3 linked regions of the Lepisosteus oculatus genome follow. The protein of the gene in region 3 purifies or fractionates together with the protein of the main gene of each other region. This does not show direct contact. Links are inferred from orthologs where the notes say so. Each region holds a gene or a part of one and is shown on either strand. Other genes may lie near its edges. The genes, in order: cct7, ppp2cab and serine/threonine-protein phosphatase 2A 55 kDa regulatory subunit B beta isoform.

The links.
Region 1: the proteins of serine/threonine-protein phosphatase 2A 55 kDa regulatory subunit B beta isoform (region 3) and cct7 purify together in Homo sapiens (affinity purification with mass spectrometry; 4 studies listed by BioGRID and IntAct, counting the BioPlex papers as one, with this or other methods). This does not show direct contact. The link is inferred for Lepisosteus oculatus from reciprocal best matches to the Homo sapiens genes PPP2R2C and CCT7.
Region 2: the proteins of serine/threonine-protein phosphatase 2A 55 kDa regulatory subunit B beta isoform (region 3) and ppp2cab purify together in Homo sapiens (affinity purification with mass spectrometry; 6 studies listed by BioGRID and IntAct, counting the BioPlex papers as one, with this or other methods). This does not show direct contact. The link is inferred for Lepisosteus oculatus from reciprocal best matches to the Homo sapiens genes PPP2R2C and PPP2CA.

Annotation. Positions count from the first base shown.
Region 1 is NC_090699.1:10,569,663-10,577,050, forward strand, and holds the start of cct7 (T-complex protein 1 subunit eta), read left to right. Parts: upstream 1-2,676; 5' UTR 2,677-2,776; coding exon 2,777-2,782; intron 2,783-4,400; coding exon 4,401-4,554; intron 4,555-5,706; coding exon 5,707-5,813; intron 5,814-6,227; coding exon 6,228-6,353; intron 6,354-6,945; coding exon 6,946-6,998; intron 6,999-7,388. UniProt on the Homo sapiens protein: Component of the chaperonin-containing T-complex (TRiC), a molecular chaperone complex that assists the folding of actin, tubulin and other proteins upon ATP hydrolysis.
Region 2 is NC_090706.1:23,922,325-23,929,712, reverse strand, and holds the start of ppp2cab (serine/threonine-protein phosphatase 2A catalytic subunit alpha isoform), read right to left. Parts: upstream 4,294-7,388; 5' UTR 4,059-4,293; coding exon 3,957-4,058; intron 1-3,956. UniProt on the Homo sapiens protein: Catalytic subunit of protein phosphatase 2A (PP2A), a serine/threonine phosphatase involved in the regulation of a wide variety of enzymes, signal transduction pathways, and cellular events.
Region 3 is NC_090696.1:42,686,533-42,693,920, reverse strand, and holds the start of serine/threonine-protein phosphatase 2A 55 kDa regulatory subunit B beta isoform, read right to left. Parts: upstream 4,376-7,388; 5' UTR 3,705-4,375; coding exon of another isoform or gene 3,635-3,704; intron 1-3,634. UniProt on the Homo sapiens protein: The B regulatory subunit might modulate substrate selectivity and catalytic activity, and might also direct the localization of the catalytic enzyme to a particular subcellular compartment.

The sequences.
Region 1 (7,388 bases), on a different chromosome or scaffold from region 3:
GCAAGGGCTGTTGGCATCTTTCTCAGAGTGGTGGGAGTGTGGAACTCGAGGTTTTAAAGGGGTAGATGGACCACAGGGCGTCCTCTCTCTTGAAGTCTTTCCTGTCTCCCAGTTTAATTTTCTGCAGGTGGGTGAGTTCCTGCTGTGGCTTTGTGCTAGGCGGGGAGGGGTAGTGGTGTCACAGTTTTGTGGTTAGCGGGCACAGGGTGGACGGTATCCTCTTGACTTCTCTTCCCTTCAGGGAGCCTGCACCTCAGCCTGGCCCTGGTGAGGGGTGGCAGGCTGTGTCCCTAGCTCATCTTTTGCAAAGGCCACGGTATTTTTACTTTCTGAGAAAAGGGGACTGACAGCTAAATGTTTTGAAAAAGGGCAAGGGCCATATCCCCCTGCAGCTCCCAGCTAGCAGCCCAGTGGAGCTCAGCGGGTGTGAGCCTGGCCTGTACCTGGATGGAAGTCTCCTGGGAAAGCTAAGGCTGCTGCTGGAAGAGGTGTTAGTGGACCAGTAGGGGGCGCTCACCCTGTGGCCTGTGTGGTTCCTAATGCCCCAGTACAGTGACGGGGACACTAGACTGTAAACAGGTACTGTCCTTCATGTGAGCTGTAAAACCAAGATCTTCACTCTCCATGGTCATTAAAAATCCCAGAGTGTTTCTACCTTGCCTTTATCAATCATGGCCTCCTAATAATCCCCCTATCTGAACTGGCTTCATCACTCTGCTCTCCTCCCCACTGAGAGCTGGTGTGTGGTGAGAGTACTGGAGCATCATCCAGGTGGGGCTGCACACTGGTGGTGGAGGGGATCCTTCTTACCTGTAAAGCGCTTTGAGTGGAGAGTCCAGAAAAGCACCAGATAAGTGTAAGCAATTATTATTATTCCTACATTCATTCACTCATTAGTCCACTTGATGGTGAGAGTTACACTACAGTCACCTATTCCACTGTAAATAAGAGCAGATTTCACTAAGATCGGATATAACAATCTCTGGCACGTTTCTGAGCATTAATAGTTAAAAATAATCCCTCCACCACCAGTGTGCAGCCCCACCTGGATGATGCTCCAGTACTCTCCCCACACACCGGCTCTCAGTGGGGAGGAGAGCAGAGTGATGAAGCCAGTTCAGAGAGGGGGGTTATTAGGAGGCCATGATTGGTAAAGGAGATTGAGAAATGCCCAGGGATTTTTAATGGCCACAGAGAGTCAGGACCTCGGTTTTAAATCTCATCCAAAGCAAGATGGCCTTTTTACAGTATAGTGTCCACTCTGTATATTGTATAGTGTATTCAATACTTATATTGTAGTGAGAAACAGGTGAAGGTTAGTTCCAAACTGAAAAGAAAAACATTTCGGCTGTGGAGCCTTCTTCAGGTGGGGCTTCATCAGGCCTTCCTCACACCAGAAGAAGGCTCCACAGCCGAAACGTTGTGTTTCTTCTCTTCTCAGCAGGGAATGTTCCTTTGCAGCCTGCACATGCTGTCGCAGCTACCCTGCTTGCAGTGGGAAATCCATATTCACGCCCCTAAGGACACTGTCCCCATATGACTTGTAATTCAACACTCTAGTGTTGCTAAGATAGCTGTCTGAGATTCCTCAGTGAGTGGGGCAGTGGGTAGCATCGCTGTTGCGCAGTGCTGGGGCCCTGGGTTTAATTCCGGACCCGGGGTGCTGTCTGTGTGGAGTTTGCATGTTCCCCCGTCATTTATGTTGGAGTTTTCTCCCACTGTCCAAAAACGCATAGTCTTCCCCGTGATGGACAGGCATGGTGTCTTGTGCCCATAGCCTGCTGGGATATGCTCTGGCTCCCCTGAGCCCCTGACTAGAATAATCGCTTTGAAAATGGAGGAAAACCTCACAGACACGGTATTCTAAACTTTCGGGGAGCCCAATATTCCGGTCCTTTATTTGTAGAAGCATCTTTCATTTTTTTCATCACTGCGATGTCGAGCCCCCTTACAACCAGATTTCTCTAGAACATAGCAATGGTTAATTATTGCATGGACCTACGTGTTCCCTTTTTTTAGTTATCTCCTCCTAGGTCAACAAGCTACCCAGTGAAGAAAAAAACCAAACATCTGCGCTATGAATACCAGCAAGTCCAGCTTCCTGGTGTGTTTTTGTGTGGTCGCTATTGTTATCGCTATCCCGAGTTCAGAGGGATCTTCTAAATATAAAAGCGCATCTGTCCTTATCTTTAAATTCAACCCTGAATTCCTATCTTTATGCCTTGCGTTTGAGTTATTGTTTATTGCACTTTTTCAGGCTTTTTCCACCCAATAATGTAATAATAATAATAATAATAATAATAATAATAATAATAATAATAATAATAATAATATATCCGTTCTTTTCGATATTTATCGGTGTTGGTTTTGTATTAAGTTTGTTTTATTGTACTAATCATTACTTTCATCGTATATCAGTCTAATTTAATGCTTTTTGCACCGTTATTTGTTTTTGTTTTTTACAGTTCGTGGTTTATTTTCGATAAACTGTAACTCGGACTAAAGCGTCCGTTAAGATCAAGGAAGACAGTGCAGCGCCCATTCAAGGCGCTCAAGCCTTAACTCCACCCCCTCCCACAACCCTCGCACCGCCCTCTCTCGAACAGCCCAATCACACACAGGCTTCATCCCGAACCACGCCCACGGAGGAGGTGTGCGTCGCCCAGTAAGGCCAAGGCGTTGGTACTACGCCCCTCCCTCTTGCTGGAAACTTCCTCCGTCGAGGTGCATTGTGGGAGCTTCCGACCGGCTTGAGCGTAGCGACAGAGCCGACAAGATGATGGTGAGTGAATGGATTTACCCTCCCTTTGCAACCCGCTTTCATCCATCTGTCACCCATCTCTAGAATATCGAACCGCACGGGTGGTTCGACGAAGCAGACCCCCTTCTCTTAAGAACCGGCAGTATCGGTCGTGGAAGAAGGATGATCGCGTTCAATTTGTTTGTTTGGATTTCTCGTGGTTACGGTCTCCGTCTCTTTCAGTGGGGGTGCTGCCTTGTCATTGTCGCTCGACTCAGAAGCGCCGCTGGCTGAAACAGAAAAGCTGCTTGTTTGTTGAAAACCGTGTTTGTCTTTTTTGTTCCGGGATCGGAGTCCCATGTGTTACCGCGGGTTTCCCGTCTTTAATCGTGTTGTGGGAGAGAGAAATGCACCGATTCGCCGCGCCAGTCCTCTGACAGTCTTCGGTAGGCCTGAGACATGACAGTTTGGGCCCTGTTGAACTACTGTCTCTAGTTACGGTAAAAAAAAAACAAAACCGAACCTTTATCAAAGGAGGTTTCTGTCTGTGTGTTTCAGTCCAGCCCTCCGTGTGCTGAACCGTGTGCACAGTAACCGATTACAGTACCGAGGGAGGGGCTGAAGTGCTCTCCTTTTGTGCAGTGTTGAATATTTTGCCTAAAAAAATCATTGAAGTCTCCTGGTTTGGTGCAGCTGCAGTTTTTTTTTAATTCTGCAAAATAAGTGATGGACAATGGCTGTTCCCCTCCTTGAGGGGGTCCCCCCCCCTAGTCCCAGGGAGCCCCAATCCAGCTATTCGTTTAGGTCACCCTAAATCGCCCGGTGAAAGCTATTGATGTTTTTGTCCCTAGTGATCTCCACCTGACTTAATTGAACACATTGCCTGTTGAGTTGATGGCAGTTAACTTCCAGTATTTATGGACTTCAGAGATGAGACTTCATAGAGACTGATTTAAAGGCAAGAGTGTGGCTCTACAGGACCAGCCCTGGACTGGCTGGATCAGGGCTAGAGAACCCCCCTGGGCTGTAACAGTAGTTCTAATGATCTTATTTCAGAGGCCTCTGGAGACACTACCTCCTCACAACAGGGAGCTGTGCCTTTCTGCCTGCCTCAAATAGAATAAAAAGAGCTCTCTCCTTTATTCTTTGTGTGCCATCAAGTCCCAGGTGTGGCCAGTAGGTCACCTCGTGCTTGGTGCAGAATATCACAAGAAGTGTTCACCTCCTTCTTGCTGAAATATCGCTGCTGGTGTCTGTTGCTAGGTTACAGCACAGGGCTGGTTCCAGTCCCATCACTGGAGAAAACCTTAGTAATGTCCTCGGGAGGAAGTCACAAGATGGATCCGGATTGGCAATCGATGCAGCTCCCATAGAAAAGAGATTGTTGCACCAAGGCTACAGTGATTGCAGAAATATTCAGTTGAATGCTTTGTATTCTTCCCCACAGGCTTGTCTTTTTCTCTCTTCCTAATCTGCATAATGCAAAGCAAGTCTTCGCTGCTCTGCAGCAGGGAATTACAAACATACACAGTCTTAATGTTGGTGTAGTCCTGTTACGCTTCAGCACTTTGGTGAGGTTCCATTGTCGTGCTCGGCGAGTTTGGCCGCAGTGGGGTTCTGGCAAGTCGCCGTGGTGACAGTCCCCCCTCTTGCTCCGCAGCCCACACCAGTGATCCTGCTGAAAGAGGGGACGGACACCTCCCAGGGCGTCCCCCAGCTCGTCAGCAACATCAACGCCTGCCAGGTCATCTCCGAGGCCGTGCGCACCACCCTGGGGCCACGCGGCATGGACAAGCTCATGGTGGACAGCAGAGGTGAGCCCCGCCGCCTGCTCTCGGGGCAATGGCCAGAGGGAGACCCCCCCCTAGCCCGTTTGACAGTGATCCGAGGGTCTCTTACCCTGGCTGCCTCCAAGAGGTGCTCGTGTTGATAACGTGGCTAGACAGCTTGTTCTGCACTCCTACCACCCTTTGTGTAAACAAGTGCCTCCCATCCCGCCTGGACAATCTCTTTTAGCTGTGTCTTGAAAGAAGCCAGGTTATTGGCTTGAACAACATGGCTAGACAGCTTGTTCCACACTCCTACCACCCTTTGTGTAAAGAAGCCCCCCCCCCCCCCCCCCTCCCCCCTCAGTTTTCAATGCTGTTCCCTGAAAATTTCACTGGTGTCCGCTGGGTTGCCATTGTCAGGGCCCTTAAGGGTTGTATCAGGTCCCCTAATTGTTCTGTTCTGTACTTGAAAGGCTCGGCTTCATCAGCCTGTCGTGTACAACTTCTTGAGCCCCTGAAAATAGCTGATCTTGTCATTTTCTGTTCTGTGGAGCGCCTTAATTCTAGCATTCTTATCACTCCCACTCCACGTCGTCCTTAGAAGTGATGAGGCACGAGCTTGTGTACCGTTATGCACCCAAGTGGCAATGGGCTCCTGTCCTGCTCATCTCACATGAATAGATCATATACTAAAGATAGTATTCTGCAATAAAATAGCAAAGTAACTTGTGGATTAACTAGACTGTTTTAATCAAATTAAAACCAAGATTCAGATATCGAAAGTTAAGTGCTGCACAGCCATAACTATTTTCTTGTACTTTTGAATCCATATCTGTTTAAAATTTTATCTGTTCTTATTTCTGATGGCTTTAGGTGACCAAGGTATTGCCTTATGCAGCGTAGACCACTGTCTGAAATAATAAACCTGTATTGAAACAGAAATGCATCCTGTCCAGATCAAGTCCACGCAGGGTGGAGATCTGAGCTGCACACTTCTCTGTTGGCGGCTTCAGGGTGACGACGCCAGTTTGCATGCGGAGAAACTGTTCAGTGTGTCTTGCCTGGCTGTGAGGAACGTGCACTGCAGCAGTCCTGGCCCAGAAATCGTATTTCTGAGTGTTCTTCCAGTAGGTCATGTGGGGCTAGCTGGTAGCAGCTGGCTAACGGTATCCCGTGATATTTTTCTTCCTCCTGTAGGGAAAGCTACCATCTCCAATGACGGCGCCACCATTCTGAAGCTCCTGGATGTGGTTCACCCAGCCGCCAAGACCCTGGTGGACATCGCCAAGTCCCAGGATGCCGAGGTGAGTGTCCGTCGAACGCCTCCCTGTTGACCCTACGAGGTCCGGGAGTTGGTCTGTGTTCAGAGACTCAAGCAGTCTCCCTCTGGGTGGGCTAGCAAGAAGCGAAGGTGGGCTACTTTTTAAACAAAGCTCTGTGACAGTTCCCTGCATTTCAGAAAACATGCACAGGTTGGTTCCACGCTGAAAAGCAAAGAGAACAGACACAAGGTTTTGGCCATTGAGCGTCCTACAGAGCAGCAGAAGTCACAATGGTTTAATTTAATCATAAATAGCCCTGTCGTGTGATCCCAGCTCGCCTTTTCGTGCTGCGTGCAGACTTCGGAAACGATCTAGATCAAAAGCCGGTGCTTTGTCAGCTTTACTTCTCCTCCTCTTGCTCCCCCGGCGCTCCTGACTCGGTCCCTGTCTCTCCAGGTGGGCGACGGCACGACCTCTGTGACCCTGCTGGCAGCGGAGTTCCTGAAGCAGGTGAAGTCCTACGTGGAGGAGGGGCTGCACCCCCAGATCATCATCCGTGCCTTCCGCACCGCCACCCAGCTGGTACGTGCCCCCACCCCACCCCCTTCCAGAGACTTTCCCACTGCTTCTGGAGGGGGCTTTCCCTCTCAGCCTGGTGGGGTTCGTTCTGGAGCTCAAACCTCCATGTGACCAGTAAGGGGCGCTGAGGAGCAGGTCGTGACTCTCCAGGCGTTTTCAGTTTAATCAGTTCATCAGGACCTGGGATCTCTTCCCTCGCTCCTGGGGGCCCCCCGATCCAGTTTCCAAGACTGGCGACACCACCTTGTTTGTGCATTCAGGGTGTGAGCTGCTCAGTTGAGAGGCCTGGTAGTTGCACAGGCTGGTTTGAAATGGGCTCTTAAATTGCCCTCAGCTGAAATTGAGGACCGCAAAGCTGTTACATGTGTCTGATGCTGGAGACCTCTGTCCTAGACCTACACGGTGGCTTGAGCTGCCCTTTTCAGCCCTGCAAAAGGTCCGAGTTGGTATCTGTGGCTGAAGGAAGCAGGAGCACGTGTTGGTAGAATGTGGGAATCGCTAGTATAAGAGCTGATGTCTCCTGCTGTACCGCCTGCTAGACTTGTTGGCCAGACCGTGCTCTGAACTCTGAAGGCTTGTCTTTTTCTCTCTTCAGGCTGTGAAAAAGACCGAAGAAATCGCCGTCACTGTGAAGAAAGATGATAAGCAGTGAGTTTCGTTTATTTCCAGATTGCACTCAGGGGCTCTCTCTGAACTGATTCCAAACAGTCAGAGTGGATTAAGAGCCCTGCAGCAGCAGTTCTAATTTGAGATTAAGTTTCGGAAACTTCCAGTTTCCAGTTGAGTCCTAACCACTCCTCGCCACTGCCGATTTCACCTAGACCAGTCTCGTCTGGGGGGGTGACCTGAGTTTTCCATTCAGCAGAACCAGGCCGGGGACATTTCCTCGCTGAACAACAGGCTAACAGGCCCGTCAGCGCAGAAACCCTTTTCTTCTCTCTAATGCGGTTAAAACTCACATGGAGATGGAACGCGGCCAGTAACTAGCACAGATGGCTTTTTTGTGCCATGATTGCTAGAGCCAACAGAAACGATTGT
Region 2 (7,388 bases), on a different chromosome or scaffold from region 3:
ATGGAGAGCAAGCTGGGGTACGCGAAAACAAATTCCTAATTGAAGAAATTGTAAAGGGTTAATAAAGTGTTGTTATTTCCAGGTATAAGCAGTTCCCTATTTTGCGATTCAGAACGAGGCAACCAAACTTCCGGTGAAGTGAAGCAGCCCTACTTTCTGGTAAACAAACAGGCTTGCAAAGACATCTCTTTAAATTGAATACAAATATTGCTCTCAACTTCGAGAGAGTTTTGCCGACAAATACAACTTAATTGTTAACTCAACATTCAGATCACATTGAAACACTTCTGCGGTGAAATCTCTGCTACACATGCACTTATTTGCTCATACATCACATTAGTCATTGCAGGGACTAGTAATCAGGAAGGGTTGCTTCACGTTGCAATTTGCACAAACTTGCTCTCATCCATGGTGAAACCAGGGCTGTACACAACACGGCGATAACACAGTACTTTCACCAAGTTCACAATTTGATAACAATTTGAATTTTGATAACATTAATTTCCAAGATTTACTAACCAGCCTGAGAAATTGGGACTGCAGTCCCCTTTTAAGGTAAAAGTCCTATTATTTATTCCCATTATCCTGTCTCAGAGATCTGTAATTGTTCAGTGTTACCTGGGCATGTTTCCTCTGAGAAAGACCTTGTTTGATAGGTGACCAAGTTCCTTATGTATCAACCAACCATGGGTTATTTCAGCACATCCAAGAATAACTATTTTTTCCTAAACAGAGAACAAGTTTCTTAGAACAAGTAGTACACTGCTGAAAGAACTGGTCAACAGCTTATCTTTGCCAGCTTACCCTGAAGACCTATATGAAGCTTAACTATTAAACATGCAATCAGAGTACAAGAAATTGAAATACCTGGGTAAATGAGGGACATCAAGTAGACGGAAGCACATCTCATTTGTTAATTAGGCAAATAACACCACAGCATATTTAGGATCATGTATAAAAGTGCTGGACAGGCCAGGTTGCCAAGTTAAGTATGATTGGACTGTCTACAAGAAGAGATCTAAGTGAATTTGAAAAGGCCGCAATGTATAGTGTCTACACCCAGAAGGCTGTCTTCCGGGATGATAAATGCCCCCATCCACAGACCATGTGCAGTTTTAATGAACATGACACTACTGTCATCCATATATCATGGCCTTCTCAGTCACCATATCTGAGCCCAACCAAGCATTTATGGGAAATTCTGAGACAGCATTTTCCACCTCCATCAACCAATTTCACGGTCTTGTGGAAGAATGGTTCTGCACAAACTTCCTGCAGAATTCCAGAAGCAAGCAGACTCAATGCCATGGAGCATAAAGGTGGTACTGGCCACTCATGGTGGCTTAACATGTTATTAAGTAACTTTACATAGTTATTTCCATTTTTCCCTACATATACAATAGCAATATATGAACTTAAAAAAATGTACTTTAGTCTAAGGTCCAAACCCAAATTTGTTGTCTAATTTTATAGCTACACATTGACTCTCCCTTGATAAAAAATGCAAGGGAAATAATTCTTTACTACATACCATGTTCTGGGAAGGGTAATTTTAAAAGACATTTTAAAGAAATGCCTTGTGCTGACAGTTAACTTTGACCCAGAACTAGACATTTAACTTTCACAAAAGTCACCTTACATGAAATCACCCACCTACAAAACCACTGAATCTCACTTGAAAGAGTACATGATAATAGCCAATAATAAGTATTTTAGCACTTTGTTTACATTGATGTTCCTCTGTGAAAGTAACTTAGATTAATTTGTAATCTCATGAATCTCATTAGTTTACCAGGAAGAAAGCACACAGCTTAAGAGCACTTTTCTTTTGATTTGGTACAGGAGTCTTTTGACAAGATACAAAATGTAAACCCAGAAGTTACTATATATAGTGGGAGTCCTCCCTATAGTCCACACAGACCTGCTTCCAAAACAGTTCATTTTTAACGTCTGGCAGTGTATGAAAAAGATTAACAATAAACGATCCCCTTTCAGTACTAACCATGATGCAGCCAAACCTAGTCTGGCCTACTCATTAGGAAATCCTCCATCCTCATCATTGTGTACATTAACATAACATTATGTTTTTTGACTATGGGTGGAAACTGGAGCAGCCGAAGGAAACCCACACAAACACAAGGAGAACATACAAACTCCATAGAGATAGAAGCTCAGGTCCAGAATTGAACCAAGGGCCTGAGCGCTGCAATGCTAACCACTGTGCCATCATGCCAAGACATAATACAACAAGCTTAATTTGCATTAAACCTGTACCAGATGCCAAGTTCAACTCTCCTCTCATTGAGCTTTGCCTCCGCGACTTGGGTGCATTTAACAAATAGAGCCATGCTCCACAAGGAATGCTTAGAAATGTCACTATCTGGGTAATAAGAACACAGAATTCCAATTTAGAGGAACATTCACTTGAAACTAAGTTTATAGTTCTTCTCGATATATATAATTGAAACAACAAAACATTTGTGAAAGTCCTGTGTACAAAAAATAGTTAAAAATATATCAAAGATTCAAGACACTTAACTGACTGACAGCTCACTGGAAATGAAAACCAGAAGAGACAGGAGTACTTCAGGATCAGGGATGGAAAACGACTCTCAAGGGTCCAAAAACCTTATGGGTAACTTTACTGTAACAATGCACAACCTAAACAGAGGGCACACCTGCACACATGAAGAAGGTTTCACAGTCAAACGTTGTGTTTTCGCTCTTCAGCATGGAATAAACCTATTACTTGTTCCTTTGCATGCTGACGCAGCTACCCACCAAGACAGGGGTCTTGTTTCGTTTAGTGGCGCTTCTTTCGGCTGTCCCCTTTATTCTGTCACAGTGATCATCACTTCATAACTCTCACATTTGAGAACAGCCCTACAAAACGTTGAGTTGTTTTACATACTAAAGAGCAGATCTTGACCACTACTACATATAAACTTAAAATACAAATGAAAAAAATAAAATCCATAATTTTACTATTTAATCTAGACAAAATACCAATCATTATTAATATACCTCTATTGAATTTAAAATCACCAAGGGCTAAAGGCGAGCTAATTCAACTTCCATGTGAGGCTACACTTAAGTCAGAAGTTGCCACTGTAAGCGTTGTTTTAAAAGTAAACACTACTCTGCCTTTCAGTACTTAAAAATATTCTGAGCAAGAAACAAAGCAAGGAAAGTTAAGAAAGAACGCCAGCTTCTAAAAACCACCGCTACAGCATTACACCGGAATACGGCGGCTCATCAAAAACAAAATACCTTAATAAACTGGGCCGAGGTCTCGTTGCTCGAATTTAGGGAACCTAGACAAAGTGCTTATCTGATAAAAACGCATAACTACTACGATAAATAGAGATCGTTTTTCGTATAGCTACGTTACCGGACAACACAGTTAGCCTGCACGGCTTTCGGAGTCTGCTATGTGTAACTATCGGCGCCATTTTAGGAATGTACTACAGCCCATCGCAAAAAGCAATCGGAAAGCGACGCATTCAATTTAACGCCGAATTTCACCGCTACAAACAATTCAGTGCCAAGATGTCCGCAGGCAGTTCGAAATATTAATCATTTAAACTACCTTTCTCCGGCAGCAGTGCTGTTTTTTCTATTTTAAAAGAAGTTCCTAAGTCAATGCATTTAACCTATATATCTTGCACCTTCAGAGCTGCTGCAGGCTTTAGATTAAGGTCTATTTCTCAGCTCAGTACTCTTGAATTATAAACTGTTAAATGCTTGAAATACCGCTTCAAATGAGCTTTTACGAATAATACCTCATTCATTTGAATCGGTAACCAATGGCAATCCACTCCGCCATCTTAACAAGCCGGTATATGCAGGGCAAGAGAGGACCCGCTCGAAACCCTCGACACCGTCCCGTCCATACACCTTTCCACCAGTTAAGATGGACATATTTCTGTGTTGTACTGAAGAAAGACAATAATTACCTTTTCGCAGAGAGTCTTGACTTGGCTTTCCGAAAGCTGCTTGCACTCGTTGAGTTGCTCAATCCATTGATCAAGTTCCTTCGTGAACGCCTTTTCGTCCATTTCTGAACGTTACCCTAAAAAAGATTAAGTATAAAACAGAAACGAAAAAAATAAAACGCCCTGCCCTATTGTTTTACAAACCCCGTTTACTCTGCGAGGGAAGGGAAAGACTCAGTCCCGGCAAGTGGGAATTATAATTATTAACTGAAGCAGATAAAAAAAGAAATACGAAGACGTCAGTCAACCGCTTTCCCACCCCTGCCTCTCCGGCTGCCTAATGGCCGTCCTGACGTCACGAACGACGCTGATCACTTCCGGTCCCAAAAGGAAGCAAACACAGTCCGCCTAAAACCGCACTGGGAGTGTGGTAAGCCTGTCTGCAGCGCTGTTGTGGGCAATGTTGCTGGTTTTGAGTACCGTGTTACACCCATACGCGCCATTCTTTGGAGGTGTTATAGCTCGGCTATCCGAAATACTGTAGCTGTTATAAAATAGATTGAATGCTATAGTCAGTACAGAAATACATGTACATTTACACTGTAAAATAATACACGTTTAGAAGGATAATGCCCTGTGTAAAAAACAGAGAATGTAATCTTAAAACAATAATATGTCATTTTATGTAGGACATTTAAAAGCAAACATTTAAAGCCCTTCACTCTATATAATTAGCACATCACAATTAAAATTGTGGAGCTCAATATGAAAGCAAATAAACAAGCACAAAAATCCTTTTTGAAAAAGATAACTTGCTGCTTACGATTTCAACAAAAAGCAGGGTTTTGACTGACAACGTCCTAATCCCCCTTATTCGCTTGAAAATCGGTCATGGCTTGTGAATGTTTTTTAAATCTTCTACAATCCATGAGTGTCAGACATTCGTTCTGAAGACAAGTTTCCATTCAATGTTAAAATGGATGTAATGGATGTAATGTTTCATTTTAATTATTATGTTAATCACCAAGACAATGATGTGTACAGCCGTCTTATACTGTTATAAGACATTTGTGTTAATGAATACGGTTGTATTTGAAGAAGGCTGCTTCAATATTAAGATATGAATTCAGTCTAGGTCCCAGATAGGCTTTTTCTTTTTACGCATTTAATGTGCGTCTTCAATTCTAAGGACTATTTCCTTTTTTTTTTTTCAAATTACCTGTTTTACTTCAAGTTACATTGATGGATTCCTATCACAATGTGCTGAATATAGAAGGACAGAAGACTATTTACCCAGCACCTGTAGAATGGTTGCCTTTACAAGGTGTAAAACATGCTGACATGCTGTTGAACTTTGGCTGTCAGCTGTAATTTGCTTGCATAACCTAGTTATTGGTCTATTACTGTTGTCATGTCTTACACGTTTCACGTTTACATCCGAAGGGTTGCAAAATATTTATATTTGAGAGTGAAAAAGTGCCTTTTAGAATATTTAAGCATTTGTCAAGTAAGTCAAGAAATAACAAAAAGGGAAAAAAGTACAGCCGTTTTGTTTCATGTGCTAAGCTTACTGTCCTAATATTGTTGAGTCTGTTTTGTATTACTTCCCTGCCCAATTGAGAGCTATGGTTAAGAGACGTTATGGCATCAGATGTACCAGCTTAGATTTTGTTGTTTTGTCCTGGTTGCATGATTATACGCAGCATTCCTGCCATAAATACAAAGTGGCTTGCTGTTGATTGTGTATCTTGTCACCTTCATAAATGCTGATGCTTACAGTAGGTCTGCCAGTTTCCAATTTATATGTGCGGAAAATTAAAAACCACACACATATATATATATACTGTACACAGTATCTTGCAATTATATTAATTTGCAATGAAATTAATAGGTCACACCATAAAGTAAGATATCTGAGAAAATTATATGGATTTTTCTGAGTATTAATATGTGATAGAAATATCTACATTTAAAAAGCTTTTGTAAGAGGATCTTCTGCAAATACATGTGCATTAGTAGTCACATTTATAGTTACCTTTATTTCACAGTAGAACACAAACAATGTGATCTTTAAATAGTCCAGTCACAATGACCATGTCACAGTGAGAAACCACAGCATTTCTCTCTGGTAACAGTGGTTCTGTTGGATGAAGTCATTTATTTAGAGCTTTTTTTAAAGTCTGGCCAGGTGACCACAACAATTAAAGCATTGACATTTCCCATGGAGATGAAGTCATTTATTATTCCTGTAAATAGCTGCCAAGAAAATAAATTTTGCTAGACTTCTTCACTGCAACATGAATCAGCAGGTTAAATACTAAAGAAAAACAAAGAACATTCCCATTTCTTTAAAAAGAGTGCCACAGCAGTAAATGACCTAATGGTGTACAAAAAAGAAGCAATCTAATTATTCATATTTTTAAGCATGGGATTATATTTATTTACATGAACATTATGTGAGCAAGGAAAATGATAAATTATTTGAAAAAAAGATTGAAGAAAAAAGATAGGAGCATTACTAAATGGCTCTGTGATTCTCTGCATATGTTAATATTGTATGAAAAACTTTATACAAAAAATACTGATCAGGACTATTTATTTTAACAATCAGTAATTAATCATCCATTAATCAATTTTCTAACCGCTTCTTCGAATTCAGGGTCTGGGGAGCTGGAGCCTATTCTAGCAGGCAACAGGCACAAGGCAGGGTACACCCTGGATGGGACACCAGTCCATCACAGGTCATACACTGACACCTAGTGCCAGTTTTCCCAGAAGCAAATTAACCTTCCTGTATGTTTTAGGACTATGGTAGGAAACCCACACTGACGCAGTGTATACATTCAAACACCAAGCAGATAGTACCCCAGGTCTGGAATTGAACCCAGGGCCATAGTGCTGTAGGGAAGTGATGATAACCACTGCACTACTGTGTGGCCCATTAATCATTTTTATTGTATTGGCCATTGAGGGGACCACTGGGCTAACTATTATTTATAGTTAGAACTATTATCAAGCACAACCAGCAAGATAAGCAGTTTCACATTTTGAAACTATGTTAATGTGATATGGATATGTTTAACGAGGGAAGGTCACGGGTTCGATCCCTGTATGGCCCAGGCAAACTCCTTCTCTAGGGGTGGAGCGGTGGAACTGTGGCTAAGGATCTGCGTCTGTAGCTGGAAGTTTGCCGGTTCAAATCACGCGGCCAGCAGAGATATCCTATACCATTGGGCCCCTGAGCAAAGCCCTTAACCCCAGCCGCTCCAGGGGCGCTGTATAAATGGCTGACCCTGCGCTCTGATCCCAAGCTTCTCTCTCCTGGTCTGTGTGCCTCTGTGTCTCATGAAGAGCAAGCTGGGGTATGTGAAAAGATGAATTCCTAATGCAAGAAATTGTATTTGGCTAATATTGACAAAATGCCTTTTAGACACATGTGGCGTAATTTTTAGC
Region 3 (7,388 bases):
CTTAAATTGATGCAATCTGTGAACTTCACAAGCGATAACCAAATTGGTCCACTCACATGCTCAAGCCATCAGCTACAGTAATTTTTGCATCACTTCACCAGCTTCTACTGTATCGCCCAAACTCACTTTTTAGACACATGCCACTCTGTTAACTATGTTCGACTGAAAATGTCCATGTATTACAAACCATTGTTATCCCATTCCATCCCAAATACACTTAAAAGGTATTCTTTTCTCACAATTCAGACTCTGCAAGTTATTCAGTGACAAGTCTGACTTCCAGGCAACATTTGTGAAGCAGTGGTTAACATTGCTGTCTCACAGCACTGGGGTCCTGGGTTCAATTCTGTGTTGAGTATGTATGTTCTCCATGTGTTCACATACTGTAGGTTTCCTTCAGGTGTTACAGTTTCTTCCCACAGTCTAATGACACATAGGTCACTTAATTGGCTTCTGGGAAAATTAGCTCTGATATTAGTGGGTGCACTCTTTGGTCTGTCCCCCCTGCAATGGACTGTTGTCACATCCAGGGTGTATCCTGCCTTGCACCCGTTGCTCGTCGGGATAGGCTCTGGCTCCTGTGCAACTCTGAATTGGACGAAGCACTTTGAAAATGATTGAATGGATGGATGGAAGGCTGACTTCCAAAACCAAGCCTTTAAAATGTGCTCTTCTTGAATTGACAGGGAATATCCTTTACATTTCTGTCAGGGCCCAACCAAAACCTGCCTTCCGACTACCACGTTCCTCAAAGAGGAGTTTCCGTTCTACAAATGCCAAGCACTCCGCGGGTCTGTCTCTTCCAGCCTAACCTCCTTTCGATTCCTTGCTTCATCAAATCAAACTTCTCTATTTTATTTGATGACTCCCCAGCTAGAATTTTTTTTTCTGGCCCATCAAATCACTGCACAGCAATGACCACCTAATCTAATAAGCCTTCTTGTCTTGTGCCTTATTGATTCACCTGAAACACCTAAAAATATACATATCCACTAGTATGCATACACAAGGCCATAATTGTCCATTTTACAATCAGCCAGAGAGCATCATGCTTGTCCAACAATCTTATTTATTGCATCCCTTCCACTGGCATTTACATCTGCAAAAGAACTACAACGACTGACAGTTTGACTGTTAGAGAACTGAGGATCAGAGGAGTCAATATGTCTATAGTTCCCCCATTTTACCTCTCTAAACTGTAGCAATTCCGCACCATCTCTCAATGCTTGAGTAAGTTCTCTTTAAACATGTTCACTCATTTACAGGTTTCAGCTCATCACACAGCTCCTGGAATCCATCTCCCAGCATTCCGTTTGTCTGGACACTTCGCCTGACGTGCCCTCCCTCAGAGCCTCCTTCCTTTATTATCCTTACCAAACACGCCAAACTCTTTGCTTCCTAATCCTGCTTCCTTACTTCCTCCCACACCCCTAACAAAATCCCCACAGTTGAAACTTTTTCTTTACATGTCTTTATTGTAGAATTAACTTCTACATATACTTTTACCAATTCAACAAGCACTACTAAAAAAATGGAAAAAAAAGTCTTGAAGCCCATATTTAATCTTGCTTCAGGACTCCCATATAACTAATACCTGTAAAGATTCCTCACACTGTTTTGCTTAGATTCTTAAATGGTACTGCCATCGACAAATTCGTAAACATACGGTACCTGCATTAACATTAAATATTTAGCACTTGGGGAGAAAAGCAATGTAACAGTATTTTCCCCACATTGATTCAAAAGGTCTATTTTCATGGTTTGAGATTAAAATTAAGGCCTGCTTAAAGTTCTAGGAGCTTGAAAACTGTTATGAATTCCAGTGTAATCAGTGCATGAGCAACACTTTAATAAATCAACAAATAAATGTGAGAAATTGCTCAATTATATGGTTTACATTGTACTAAAATGAACCGAATAGGATCTTTTTTAGCCTAAAAAAAGGCAGACCCAAAACATAATTTAAGAATCCATTTCAGAAATTATAGTTCAGTCAATACTTGCAAACAAAAGGTCACTTTCAGGCTGGGTATCCAATATTACATGACAAGCTGGGGTCAAAAACGTAATTATAAATGTTCTCATGGGGCTGACTCCTGTAAGCTACATTAGAAATCATATATGTGGTAGCATGTTTCTGTACTTCACATATACTACATTATATAGATTATGAGTCTACAACATAGCATATGTTTTTCTTTCCTTAAACTCCAATTTCCTGGCTGGCCACATTTTTCTGAATACATTTAGCCTGGTTAACAGTCATGCTCGACTCTCTGAGACTGTAAATGAAGCCTCACCTTGTTCATGCACCAACTGGAGAGAACAGTTTGCAGAATTCCCGTTTTTTGCTGACTCACTACATCATTTTTCTCCGAGATAAAACCCTTGGCAGGCATTCCAATGTTAAACTCCCTCCCACAAACATTTAAATGTTTTGGTCTTGCTTTTTCTTGGCTTGTTATTTTAAATTAAGATCACCAATTATTGCATCTAGCACCATTTACCAGATTTAGACTCCCTGTTAGCCGTTATGTGTTCATTAAAGTGGAATAAACGGAACCTGCTGGCTGCCACTGAAATCACAAGATCTAAGGCCCTTAATCTGCAGCATTTGTAGCAAAAGCTATTACACTGCATCTGAAAAAAGGAAAAACTGCTTCTACAGTACATACATTTTCCTGCCAGCGTTCAACCTTCATCATCTAACAGCTTACAGAATCAAACAGATAATTGTACACTCTTATACTAAGGGTGACATAAGTCATAAAACCAACTAAAAACACAGCCTTGGGGTTGCTAATCCTACACGTCACGACTAACTACAAAAATGGTACGCATGATAAAAATATAAAAACTAAGCAATACACCTGTGTGCCAAAAGAGATCCCCATGAGTAAATACAGTGAAATATGCTAGCTGAATTGCCACTGATAGCACAACTCATTCTGTTATAAATCATTCACACAGCATTCAGCATCTACAGGATCTAAGAATGTCCATTTAAAATTATAATTGTACCCTACAGTAGAAAATAGTGGAGGCCACAGCAACAGAGAATCTTGCACTGTCAGAGAGATTTTATGCTTTCCATAAATATTATTTGTAGGTGATTGAACAAATCATTTTTCTCTGGTTTTCATTATTAGTAATCAACTGAGATACACCCTTCATCAAGTGCATCTGTGATTTTCGATCATTCTAATTAGAGGAGCAGCTGAGCTAAAAATAAATGAATAATCATCTCCAACAAGGAGTCCACCTGATGAATTCGCACACCTTTATACAAATCGTTTATTCTTCTGGTGCACTGGATCAGCAATGTCACTACAGGCAAAAAGGATGGATTCTCTGTTCCTCTGAAAAGTTCGTCAGATATTTACTGCTGGTGAAGACCTCTTATCTGTACAGCTAATTAGACGTTAGGGAGATGCAGGTCAGGTTTCTAAGTAATGTGCAGAATAAACTAGAATACGGCTGCTACCCATTGCTAAGAACAAGCAAAAAAATCCTTATAGGAAACATCTGATTTCAAAGTTTAAAATAACCTAAACGCATACATTAGTATATAATAATCTCAGCTAGCAAGCAGCTTCTCATTTAAGCGAGCATTAGAAAACACATGCAACACTACCTTCAGTCACATAGTTGTGGTCTCGGAGAAAGCTGTGGTTGATTTTTCGGGTGTCAATGTCCTCGCCCATTTACAGCAGGATTACTCAGCATGCCCATCCGCAGTGGACTAATCGAATCCGTAGGCTTCCTCACAAGAGCACCATCCATGCTGCCACTGCCTAGCAGAGGCGGAGAACTGCCAGGGGTTCAGAGGATAGCATAATGAGAGCCAAAAGACGAGATGCGGCACAGACTTGTGGTGCAGCTGAGATGTTTGAAGGAGAGGAAGAGAAAAATTGGGGGACAACACACATACACACACACACACAACCCCCGCACCCCTCACACCCACTCACACAGAAGGCATAAAAAGCTTAGCTGGTACAGCAAACTGGCAAGAAAAAAATAGAAGAAGAAAACAGGAGATGGTCCCTTCTGTGGCTTCCCCCCCCCAACTCTATAGAGCTGCAGCAGCACTCCTGTGGTTTGAAGAAACACGCTAGTCCTTTTAGTCAGGTACTCCTTAAACAAGCCCCCATGCAGAGCTGGCTCCTCGTGCTTGCTGCAGCAGGATCTCAAAGGATTTGTGCTGGAAGGAGAGGGTAATGAGTGTGGCTGCTTGTTTGCTTGCAGGCTTGCTGGTGCAGTGTGAAACGGTGTGCGTGTGTGTGCATGCGCGCGCGTGAGAGGAGAAAGAGCGAGAGAGAGAAGCGAGTGTGAGTACTGCTGCTGCTGCCTGCCACTGCTACTGCTGTCATAGGCCTCTGCTGCATCAGAGTAGGCTCCTCCCAGCTTAGCCTATGAGCAGCTAGCCATGATCTGCATTTCCAGAGACTGCAGGTGATTAAAGCTGCACTCTGGGAGGCAGGAGAAGCAGAGGGGAAAACTCTCTGTGCAGCTCTGCTTTGAAATACATCACGTTACTTCTCCTACTGCAGCAAAACAACAAATGTTTCAAAGATTCTGCCTTTAATTACTGTAAGGCTGCAGCAGTAGCCCCCAACTGATACCAGCTGCTGAAAGTGACATGTCATATGGCTCAAATCCTTTATGATTACAATATAGAAATATAGGCAGATAAGAAATATACCTCCTTTCCAGTGGATAAGAATACTAAAAGAGAACGTCTGTAGCACTGGTTTGTAAACAACTGCCAGGAAGATGATGCACATTAATCTGAGTCTCCTAAATGAAGGAGTCTCCAGCCTCATAGAGTCTAGTGTCACTGTGTGAAGAAGAGTAATGGACTAGTTTTCACCAACAAAGAGTCCAGAAAATATGACTAACAGTAATCCCTTAATGGTGTTGGAAATAATTCAGCCTAACTCTCTACAGAGATATACCCGAGGATTCCACTAGGCTTCAAACCAAAAGCACAAAAAAACAATTAATAAACATCTTATTAAGGCCTTTTACAAATATAAAAATTACAGTTCCAAGAGATTTCAAAGGGATCCATGCATGTGCCATTATGAAATAGAGCAGTAATAAGGAATGTGGCAGTAGATTTTCAGTAACACAGATGTTAATTGCAACGAAAGAATTTCTAAGGATTAGTGTTTCCATTAATGAACTCAAAGAAGCTATTCTGATAATGTAGTAAAACAAGATCAGTATCCTATGGATTGTGACCTATATGTGACTGTTCTACAAACTAGATATACAGTAGCTCTCATAAGTAACAAAGTTATCACAAATTCCCAAACATTTAAAGTTACGTAAAACATAGACTAACAAATAACAGAAATAGTGATGTTATTTTATATCCACCCATTTTCTGGTATTCTTATTGATTTTATTCCTAAATCTGTGTTTCAATGGGACAAGTAATTTTTTAGGTAATTTGTCATCTGAAATCTTTAGCTGTGTATAAACAGTTGTATTTATTTTTCAATATCATCCTCCAATCTTGAATCGGGCCGAGTGTAAAGCTACTTAAAATGGCAAAATTAAATAAAACGATGAGTTAGCATTCTTTTCAGTCAGAAGGGACTGCAAACAAAAAAAATAACTTTAGCGTTTAAAAAAAAAGATTTCTCAGAAATAAATAACTGAACTAGCTGTGGCAAATAGCCTGCTCTCATTGTAAATATTTTTTTTTACAAAAGTGGGTCAAAGTACTGGTGTGGTCACCTTTTAGCCTTTTACAGATGGTGAATAGGTGAAGATATGTATGCTTAACATAGCTAAGAGCTATTTGGCAAATTCTCCCAAGAAGACAAAAACTTGTAGCAGATATGGTCTTTACCTGCAGAATGTTCATGATATAAATAGCTGATCATATTGATATTGACAAACAGTAGAAGGGTTGTGAGTATCCAGGACTTTTGATGAACAGCAATGAAAGCTGGCGGTCCTGAGGTGATGTTTTAGCTTGCTTTGGCGTTTGCATTAAACAGTTCAAGAAACGAAAGGTGCCTCCTGAACTCAGACTATGATTGACTTCTCAGGTTATTTTGTGTACATTTAGGTCATTTCAGCCCCACTGACTGATAAACTTCAAAGTCAAGGAAACATCATCCTGTCTGCACCAAGCAGCTTTTGTATTTGAATACAAATTGAAAGTGTACTTCAGAAGACTTCTATACTGGCAGACTCATTCACTTTGAGACACTGCGACTATGTCAAGATTCTTGCTTAGTACAGTATCCCTGCAACAAGCCTAGTTTACAAAGCTAGTGTGTCTTACACCTGATCTACTGTCATTCAAGTCACATTATGTAGGCTTGTACAGAAAGCTCATTGTTCAAGGTCATGATTCACCTCCCATGTAGACCCAGTGGAAGCACTGGGCTTGAATGTCATTCTGGACATTTCCTCTAGAGATTTAGAGCTAGTAGTTGCAGATGCTAAGAAGCTGGAAACGGGATGAAAAGTTCCCTTCCTTAATTCAAGCTTGGAAAGCTTTGCTTGTCAATTCTCAGAACAGGCAAACCTGCACAAATGGACTGACTGGACGGATTATATGAACTTGGAACTTTCGTATACATGTAACACAATGTGCAATGTTGGTTTTAGTCTGTAAATGATGCCTGGCCCCTGTGTGTGTGAACAGGTAACCTCCATTCAAAACTATCTCCTCTCAAGACTAACAAAGCCTGCACAAGTTATGAACCAGACTTCAAAGAAATTAATAAAACAATTCAGTAGCAGAAGCTGCATTAGACATGCAATGTAAGCACATTACTGACTTTAAATGATTTTTTCTGGCATTTCTAAACAAAGCCATTGTCGACTCCTTTAGTAAAGCAATGTGGCGGGAAGGTTGCTGGTGAATAGACCTTTAGATTTATAAATGTTTTAGCATAAATAAACCTTTATTAACCCAGATAAGTCAAGTGAGATCAACGTCTCATTTACAGTAAAAACCTGGAAGGTAACACCGTAGAGAGAGCAGAAACAGTGCCTGTCTGCATTTTTATTTCAATCAATTGCTGCTTTTTCCCCCACTATGGCATTAATCTTGACACCCACATCTAAAACTCAAACAGGGTCCCAGTAGCCCTAGATTCTTCACCTATGCCAGTTGTGATAGCCAGACAGGATTCTCAAAGCACAAAGCATTTTGAAATTGAGATCTGATGCTCTTGCAGAAACACCTGAACTTCCAAAGGCAATTTAAATAACGGTGTGAGCCCCTTTGCTTCCAAGTGCAGCAGGAGCCGTGTACTGCTACTACCCATTTCACTGAAGAGGACACTTAGAATTAGCAAATTCACAGGCCTTGCTTTAAAGAGACACACCACTTTCACTGCACTGTCTAACACAGCCTG